Arabidopsis thaliana: one gene and its partner. The protein of the gene in region 1 interacts with the protein of each later gene in a pairwise test. Each region holds a gene or a part of one and is shown on either strand. Other genes may lie near its edges. The genes, in order: AT5G39790 and AT3G60150.

What was found.
Region 2: the proteins of AT5G39790 (region 1) and AT3G60150 interact in a two-hybrid assay, tested with the Arabidopsis thaliana proteins (one large-scale study listed by BioGRID).

Annotation. Positions count from the first base shown.
Region 1 is NC_003076.8:15,931,983-15,937,430, reverse strand, and holds AT5G39790 (PROTEIN TARGETING TO STARCH (PTST)), read left to right. Parts: upstream 1-2,160; 5' UTR 2,161-2,309; coding exon 2,310-2,313; intron 2,314-2,507; coding exon 2,508-2,541; intron 2,542-2,669; coding exon 2,670-2,895; intron 2,896-3,000; coding exon 3,001-3,098; intron 3,099-3,552; coding exon 3,553-3,622; intron 3,623-3,849; coding exon 3,850-3,955; coding exon of another isoform or gene 3,956-4,050; coding exon 4,051-4,139; intron 4,140-4,233; coding exon 4,234-4,346; intron 4,347-4,444; coding exon 4,445-4,547; 3' UTR 4,548-4,874; downstream 4,875-5,448. Other genes in the region: AGL98 (AGAMOUS-like 98), read left to right, coding at 1-153; AT5G39800 (Mitochondrial ribosomal protein L27), read right to left, coding at 495-563, 849-913, 1,701-1,851; AT5G39785 (hypothetical protein (DUF1666)), read right to left, coding at 5,216-5,448. UniProt on the Arabidopsis thaliana protein: Involved in targeting GBSS1 to the starch granule.
Region 2 is NC_003074.8:22,219,954-22,224,223, reverse strand, and holds AT3G60150 (NADH dehydrogenase ubiquinone 1 alpha subcomplex assembly factor-like protein (DUF498/DUF598)), read right to left. Parts: upstream 2,253-4,270; 5' UTR 2,073-2,252; coding exon 1,900-2,072; intron 1,802-1,899; coding exon 1,685-1,801; coding exon of another isoform or gene 1,603-1,684; exon of another isoform or gene 1,396-1,602; coding exon 1,361-1,395; exon of another isoform or gene 1,149-1,360; intron 1,148-1,148; coding exon 1,047-1,147; intron 961-1,046; coding exon 874-960; 3' UTR 712-873; downstream 1-711. Other genes in the region: ABCC9 (multidrug resistance-associated protein 9), read left to right, coding at 1-190, 268-395; DIN2 (Glycosyl hydrolase superfamily protein), read right to left, coding at 3,514-3,904, 4,010-4,118.

The DNA of each region.
Region 1 (5,448 bases):
AACACACAAGATCACTCTGCTCCTGCGGTACAAGAATCTGTGAACAACAACTATGGGTTGATGCCGCATGTTCCTTGTGGTTATGATCAGAACCTGTTTACGAGTGATATTACCAACAACAACCTTCTTATCGACAACTCGATGTTTCTCTGATAACAAAGCTCATTCAAGAGAGTGTGAGACTGTTTTTTCATCTTCTCGTAAGAATTTTAATATGTTGTTGATGTTTATTTTGCTAAGTATTGCATAACGCATAATGTTTTCTTGTATCAAGCTATTTTACTATGTGAACATCCAATTTATCAAGTGAATATATATTCCACTGCATAAACATGTTACCAATTACTTTGCATATCGTTTCGTGAAAATATCAAACCAAATCTCCCATTTTAAGAATAGCACATAAGGATTACGGACAATAGAAGAACATAATCATAACTTAAAGCTTTATGAAGAAGACTTAAAAACATATATATCTTCTGACTGACTATTTTTCACTTGGAAGCTTCAGTTGACTCGTTTGTGTTGACTTGTATCGGGCATTGAGATACATATGGTTTCAGCTGTAAAATCCAAATAGATATACATCAGCAGAGCAGCTAAATCACACAACAAAGGTTAATGTAATTAAGTAAGCATTCCCATTTCAGGTCCCTAACTCAAAAACCTTACAACAAGAACAAACCAAGATAATTATCAGGATGAACCTAAGGAGATTCTACCAACAAGACTTGTAAGAAGATTTCTCACTAATGTTTGGTTCTCAAGTTTCAATTAAGATGCAAGGTACATACTAGAAGTATCAAAGATAAAAGGAACATAAGAGTTTAGAGGGTGAAATGAAAAACCTTAAAGCCGGTGAGATCAGGGACTACGTAATTCGGCAACTTATCTGGCTGCACAACATATCCTCCTGCAAAAACACCATGTCATAAAACTTAGGTAAAGATAAAATGAAGTCTCGAAAACAAATGCAAAATACATATACAATATGATGATCAGTTTTTTTTGCCAAAATGAAGTCTAGAAACAAATACAAAAACAGTATACTACACATGTACAATTCGAGTTAAGCTACCACATTTATTTGAGTGGAAAGCTAACTTCTTTAACTCAATTTTGGCAATTATGAATCTAGTAACACATGCAACCGATGATCAGTTCTTTGCCAAAATAGAGTTAAAGTTGTTAGCTTTCCTCCTAAACAACAATCTGGTATCTAAAGCTTTGCCTTAGATTTCATATATCTAATAAAAACACTCAATTATCAAAAACATTATGATGATCATCAATTGAGTTAAAGTTGTTAGCTTTCCCACCAAAAGAATCTGATATCGTAAGGCATGAAAACTAAACTGATAAAAGCTCTGCCTTAGGTTACATATATCTAATTCAAAACCAAGAACAACAAGATTCAATCACCAACTAACTAAACAAGTGTTAGATAGAAATGGATTGCAGCATGACAAGTGAAAACCAAACCAATAGTTGCAGTTTCAGTGAACCTTTCCTTGTTAGTAGTTTTGCCACAATTGAGTTAAAGTTGTTAGCTTTCCACTCAAAGAATCAATCTTAAGCCATGTAAATTCCTAACAATTAGTTCAAACAACAAATAACACAAGATTGCAATTATCAACTAAACTATAACAAGTGTTAGATAGAAATGAACTGATTCTCAAAATTAGGATGAAAGTTGGAACCTTTTCTCGTGTGGAAACCAGTAGGTTTGCAGTTTTTGCCCTTGTAAAAGTCTCTTGGAGCTCTTTTGGGAGAGAGAATGTCAAGAGAAGAAGATCTCTTTCTTCTGAATGATCTTCCAATCCCCATTAACAATCCTCCTATCGTCGTCATTCTCCACCAAATCTATCAATCTCAATCGATGGAATAACGGATCTATATCAACTATTGAGAAAAAAATACGGAGCTTGAGAAGAGAAGAGTGTGAAAATCTCAGAGAGGCCAAAAAATAGGGGGTTTGTTTAAGTGAGGTTAAAGGTTGAAGACAGTAAACGGTGTCGTTTGTTTTGGTGGAATTTGGAAAATTGTTTGTTTTCAGGAAAAATGTGACTCTTTGAAACTATAGGGACCATATTTGAAAATTAGTTCTTAGATTTACGCACGTGTTTTGTAGCCATTGATAAGAAAAACAAATTAGATTTTTTATTTTTGGTTCTGGGGTTTATCAGTGTTTCCAGCTTCTTCTTCTTCTTCACAGCTTTCTCGATATTTTTGAGAGTTTTTAACCAAATTAGACATTTTTAATCAATTTTTTTTTGTGTTGAGCAAGACGAAAAGAGTCTAATCCAATCATGGGTAAGTCGAAAAATCATTCCTTTTTTTAATTTTTTTTGGTTCACATTTCTGTTGAATTCAAGTTCTATAAAAGAACCCTAATGTTTAATTTAGGTATATATGTAAGATAAGTAGCATTTTGATTTATGTGAGACATTACTGAATTTTGATGATACAAGTTGAAGTTTTTAATTTTGTGAGTCTTTCTGATGCAGGATGTGTACCCAGAATTGAATTTGGTTGTTCAAGGTACAAAATTTCATATCTTTTTCTTATTCTAATTCACATTTTTGCTGATGTGAAACCAAACTTGTTATGATTCATCATTATAGTATTTTAAGTTTCTATTAGTTGAAGTGATTCTTCTTCTTCAACAGCCAAAGCCTTACTCTTTCATGGAACTTAAGAGCATGGAATTTGTGTAGATTGAACACAATCTCCCATTTCCAGAAACTTCCTTATCCTTTGGTAGCTTCTACTCGAAAACATTACAAGAACAGTTTGCTTTTGAAGAGATTTTTAGTTGGTGTTGGCACTGAGGAATCATCACTGTCAGAAGATTTACTAGATGAATCTCTTTCTCGACCTCTCACTAGTGATGAGGTTAAGCTTTATCTTCTTCTCCTGTTTATCTAAGCGTATGTGTTCTCAGATGATAAAGAAACTATGTTCTGTACCAACTAACAAACTCTCCATTTGGTTCTGTAGTTGAAGTCACTGCTCATTGATACAGAGAGATCAAAGCTTGTTAAAAAATTGAGTGAAGCTAATCAACAGAATCGGTTCCTCAAGCGTCAGGTGCTTGTGTTATATTTATACACTTACTTTAGTACCTCTATCTGTCCATTCTCTTAGATGATTTGAGAAACCTGCAACCTTATATCCTATTCTATTTAAGAAATTTAGTGTCTATCAGATTTTATATTATCACACTCTTGGAAAAATACTGAAAAACCTCCAAGGTTTAAGGGAGTTACATGTCTGTGATGTCACAGAAACATTTTCCTTCACTTCTCTTCTTTTTCTGTAAACCGGCATTGTATCAAATTGGAAGATGATGATGAATCATTTGCATACTTAAATACACTTTCCACTGTTCTTCATCTGTGTGTTTGATGAATCTTGTTTGAGATTTAATCCTCAATACTTATATTCTTGATGCTATTATACATCATCTTTTTTCTTTGTAAACAGACATCGTATCAAGGGACAAAACGAGTTATTTGACTTGTTTGTTGACTACTTGAACTCTTTTTGCAGCTTTAAAACACAGGAACATGAGATAACTAACATCAAAACTGAGCTTGCACTTATGGAGCTCGAAGTTCAGGTCTTTATTTCTACTTTTGATTTTTCAATGTCACGGTCTCACTATCTCATTGCCTTAAGCTGATTTGGTTTAGTTGTCATTATCCCATGTCTACTGCCAATCAAATACATATTTTTGTTGGTTATAATATTGGGAAATATTTAGCTTCAGATTTTTGTATGCACAAGCACATATGTATAGTTTCTTTAGTAGAAATGTTTCATGATATCACTTTCTGGAGGAAATAGGCTCTGGTGAAACTGGCGGAAGAAATAGCAAACCTTGGTATCCCACAAGGTTCTAGAAAAATCAGTGGAAAGTACATTCAATCGCACCTTCTCTCTCGTTTAGACGGTTCTTCTCATCCCCTCTTGGTTTCATCATTATTTAGGCGCTCATCAAATCCCTGGAATGATATACTAATTTTTTATTTTTTTCTCCCACTAAAGCTGTTCAAAAAAAGATGAAAGAACAAATAAAAGGTGTCGAGGCTGCACAGTCAAAGGAGGTTCATGTGTTCTGGATTGGCATGGCAGAGGTAGTGTAATAATCTCACATTATGCATTTTAACATTCTAAGCTTAATATATTATCCTCAAAATTAATCTCATTTGTTGATTATCTTCACATAAGAGTGTACAAGTAATGGGATCGTTCGATGGATGGAGCCAACGTGAGGATCTATCGCCTGAGTACTCAGCTTTATTCACCAAATTCTCCACAACGTTATTCCTTCGTCCCGGGCGGTACTATTTAAATTTTATTCTACTCTTATTCTTTTGCATTCAACATCAACTTTTAATGTTTGAAATTATTCGTGTTTTCAATCTCTTGTGAAATTTAGGTACGAGATGAAGTTCTTAGTGGATGGAGAATGGCAGATCTCACCCGAGTTTCCTACTTCAGGAGAAGGATTGATGGAGAACAATGTTTTAGTGGTGGAATAGCCACTCATCTTTCTGCATTACACCCGTAAACATTTAAGATTGGTGTGGATGAGATTGTAGACAATAGAATCTGAGTATTAGATACAAGGAATAGTATAATAGGTGGCAGGAGTCATTTGGATTTCTTATCTTTTGTTCACACAAAATCCAATCAATTTTTCCCATCTCTCAAAAGTTCTCTTGGTTTTGATTTCGTTTCATTGTTGTTTTGGCATTAGCTTTGAATCCATAGAGAGAAGATAGGTAGGTTCCATGTACATCAGAAATTTCTTGGTTTGTAAGAAAGAGATATTGGAAACAGAAGAATGAAGAAGAGTTTAGAAATAATGTACTAAACCAGAACTAGTGGTTTCAGGTTATCCCGGAAAACGAGTGTGTGAATCTATAGAGACTTTATTATCAGTAGACTCTGGTCCATTCAGTATATTCCGGTCAAGAGACATTTAAATGAACTAGGGAGATAACCGGGTTTTGATTAACATTTTGGAATTAACCAATTTGGTTCAGTTGTGGACCACATCCAACCCTAGTGAAAATCAATAAAAGTCATCAAGTGTAATAGCCAAAAATTGATGGACTTTTTATGAGTCTTACTTAACAATAATATGAGGCCAAAATTTGTATTTTCATTATTACTCCAATGTACAAATTTGTCAATATCAAAAATCTCAACAAGGGAAAAGACAAAAGGAAGGATCTAAATGTAACCTTCTATTTACGAAGTTAATCTTAGTCAACTTATTGTGACACCAAACCAAATGGTCCCTAGTCAATTTAGACATATTCAAGACTCTTGTCACAAGTTTCATGTCTACTTGTGAGAAGAAGTGAAGTACTTGATCTTCTGTCGAATCTTCTTCCTTGTGCTTTTGGAATCTTCTTATAATACATCTCTCACTTT
Region 2 (4,270 bases), on another chromosome or scaffold:
CTTGGGAGGGTGTTGTTGAAGAAAAGCAACATTCTGGTGCTTGATGAAGCCACTGCTTCTGTTGATTCTGCAACTGATGGTGTAATACAAAAGATCATCAATCAAGAGTTTAAAGATCGGACAGTGGTGACTATTGCACACAGAATCCACACAGTGATAGAGAGTGATCTTGTTCTGGTTCTGAGTGATGGTAAGAACAATATACATGTGTTTTCATATACATTCACACACATAATTATGAGGTCTAAGTCACTTTTCTATGAGCAGGACGAATCGCAGAGTTTGATTCACCTGCCAAACTGCTACAGAGAGAAGATTCTTTCTTCTCCAAACTCATAAAAGAGTATTCGCTGAGATCTAATCACTTTGCCGGCTCGAATGATCTTCTCAGCTAAACACCACTAAAAGATGGATGATCTTTTGCAGAGAAAACGAAATATGAATTCCACAGTTAAGCTTAAGTTGAAAGTCTAACTAGTTATTTAGTACTACATAAGTTGAACATAGAAATGGAGAGAGCACCATGGTTAGAAGCATGGCGCATCGAAGAAAATTCAGTTCAACATTTTAATCAGTACTTGTGTTTTAGGTTCTATACTGAGTTTTCAGTGTGTTCTTGGAGAACTATCCATGTAACCAATGGAATAAAGCAGGAATCTATATCTTCTATTTTTTCAGATAAAGCTCAATCAAATTAAAGCTACGTAACAAGGTGGTAATCCTGTAAATTTCGATTTTTTTGCAAAAGTTTTACAAATAGAGTGAAATATATCATTTACAGTAGACAAGAAGACCATGTTGGTGTTTCAACTATAAAGATCGAGTCAAGCTGTTCGAAGTTTGTTCTACAGTATTCCAGAGGTGTTGAGTTTCTTACGATGTAACTCCATAAGGAAGCAATGCAGCAGCCACGATCCTGCCTTCCTCATTGAGTATGTTGTAAGTTGATGCAGCATTTCTCTGGATAGATCAGAGCGTTAATCAATAAGCACAGAAAAATACTCCAAACCAACAGAACAAATACTTGAATAGAACAAAGGACATACAGAATCAACAGTTTCTAGCTTCATGCCGATTGACTTTACGAACTGACGGACTTGGGGATTCAGTGGGTGGTTGTATCTTCCACACCCGACAATCAAGAGCTCTAGAGATTGTTTTGAAAAGAAAAAAACAGAAAAAGGAGAGTCAAAAACCACTGATGATACACTTCAATATGTGCAAAAGGTTTTTACTTTTTAGCCACTAAAAATATGGCGTACGCAAACGTATCATACAGTTTCCAACGATCCTGGAACAAAGACTATTGTATAAGGAATGTGGAAGAAATCAACTTACAAAATGCTAAAATGTATAGTACCTGGAATTGGTCGAACCGTCTGGAAGATTGACAAGCTGCATCCATGAATTAGACATGTAAAGTGTTTAGCAATGACACATTAACTTCAAAGTAGAAAGAGTAGATAGATATTACAAAGTTAGATCAAACACAGCAAACAGATACTAGTACGTACAAGAGAGGCCACACTAGACAGACTTCAACTTTCGCTGAAAAGGACTTAACTAAACATTCATTAGAGAGGGTCATGAACAATGAAAAGATTATAACTTTACGCAATCTCTTAACTCTAGCTCTAGTCCTGTATAAGTAAGCTGAAGAGAAGGGAGAAGGTGGTACTGGTACCTATCCGTTGTGATGTCGGAGAAGTAACGAGGGCTCCATGACATTAGCAAATTCCCAACACAGAGCAAGCTTCCTTCGTATTTAACCCCATTCACAGTGAAACTCGTCTCATCAAACCTGCAAAAAGCACCATTAATTGATTCATTTCATACCCGAAAATCCAAATTCCCTTGCTACATAGTCAAATTAGGAACATGACTGAGAGAGATGAATACTCCTGAAATCGGAGCTGATCCTCAGGAACGTTATCGATGAGATTGATCTGATCGTAGAGAGAGAAAGCTCTTCTGAGAGATGGTAAGACAAGACTGGGCTGCTTCGTAACTTCGTTTCTCATGCTTTGAATCAGTTTCGGCAACGTCGCCATTGCTTTTTGTCTCACTGCCATCTTCACCGTCTCCAACTTCTCCGCGCTCTCAAGTCTAAACTGTTCCCAAGGGAAGACTCTTGAACCAAAGCGGTTTATTGGTTTCGGTTTCTAACCAGAAACCAATGATCCAAATCGGTTTGCACTATTTAATTGCAACCATTCCGATACACTACTTACTTCTTTCTTTTTTTGGTAAGTCAGATACACTACTTACTAAACAGATTGATTATTCCGTTTACGTTTCGGTTAAGAGTTTTTTATTTATTTTCTGTTTACCAATTTAAAACCGAATGTATACAGTAGATTGGTTTGATACTAAATTTTAAGGAATGTAAAACCGTTTAATTTGACTAATGCAAAACCATTTCATAATTTTAAATCGATTTTTAACTATTCGGTTTGTTTTGGTTTAGATTTTTCATATTAATGACGTCAAATCAGAAGGCAATCTTACGGGATAAAAAATATAAATGAATATATTCATCTTTCAATAACAAAAACGCAAAAGCCAAACGTTATGAGTTTTTTTTAATTTTCTTCAATCTAGGTCTACAGTGAAAAGAAGAAAAACAAAACTGGAGTCCACATCTTAGAACGAGAGACACTTCACCACGACTCAGGGACCAGTCTGCTTCGAGAAATGGAGCGACACCGAGTTTGACTCTATTTTCACCAAAGATAACAAAAATCTCCTGAAAACTATATATAAGCTTCGGATATTTTCTGGTGTAACTATAGTAGTTTTATTTTACATCGGACCGGTTGTTACGTTTTTGACTTTGCTCCAATGTTTTATGCCAGCGATAAGTGTTGCTGACGAAGAAGAAAGCTAGCACAAGTTTTGATCTCTGACTGGGTACTGTATGTAATTGTGTCGTTTTTGGCTGCTAAAATGTTTAAGAAAGCCACAATTTGACACTTGTCAGATAAAGATCCAGCATATTTTTGGTGACGTGATGAAAGAGATTGTGGTGCGATCAACAATTTGTTAACGATGTCAAAGAAGGTGATCCTCATCCAATATTATTATAAACTGTAGAAAAAGAAAAAAAACAGTTAAAGAAGTAAAATATTGTTGTAAGAAATAACAAATAACCATGAGATAACAGTTTAAGAATAGTTTATAATATACATCGCCTTGCCGCGAATAAACATTTATATAAACTTAGTTTAAAAAAAAAAAATCATATATATGTTGATTAACGATATATAATATTGTTTATATTATGAAATTTTTTAATTGGCTGTTGAACTCATTTGAAGCGTCGGATTAATTAACAGCTTTAAAATAATATATGTATATTGTCACACAAAGCCAGAACCCATCATGCCAGTATGCCACCCATTAGATTCCAAGAAGAAAATATTACCATGAAAATGTTCATATATTAACATGAGCTAAATTCTAATTAACTACATGTCCAACCATAAGGAATTTAAAAACATAAGGGATTTGAAATCAATAAAATGAAGATGGGTTCTCTATGCCTTGCAAAACACCAAAATGAGTATGAGGAAAATCAAAGGAGCAACGATTATTCTCCTCATCTCTCCTCGATTGGTTCATTGCCATGAAAGATGCAAAGAAACCCGCCGATTCTTCGAAACCCTTAAAAGTCTTATTCCCTTCCGCGCGTGACATCTCCTCTACCTCCTCTTTGTTACTCTCTCCGACGACCGATTTCTTAAGGAACCGCTTAAACCATTTGACCGAATCTTTTGGATAACGTTTGAGACCATTGACAAAATCAACATAGTATAGACCAAATCTTGCAGTGTATCCATGCTCCCATTCAAAATTGTCCATCAATGACCATGCGTAATATCCTCTTACGTCACACCCATCTTCCCTATAAACATATCATAAATTTATTAGTTAAAAAAAACTCGACCGAATTTGATTAAATATTGTCAGAAAGATCAGAGACTAAACCAGAAACAGATCAAGAACTAACACTATAGCTTTGTGAAGTTCTTCGAAATGTGTCTTATGGTATTCAATCCTAAATGTGTCCTTCACAATTTCTTCTCTTGGTTTTGTACCGTCGTCGTTGTCATTAATTCCTGTAATTCAGTAATCAACGTAAATTATTAATAGTCACACCATTTTTTTTTTTTTTTAAATCAGTTTGTTGAACTGGTTAGGGAAATATATTTAAATCAAACTTCAGTTTCAATTCACTGCTAGGATATTATTAATGTGTGGTAGAGTTAAA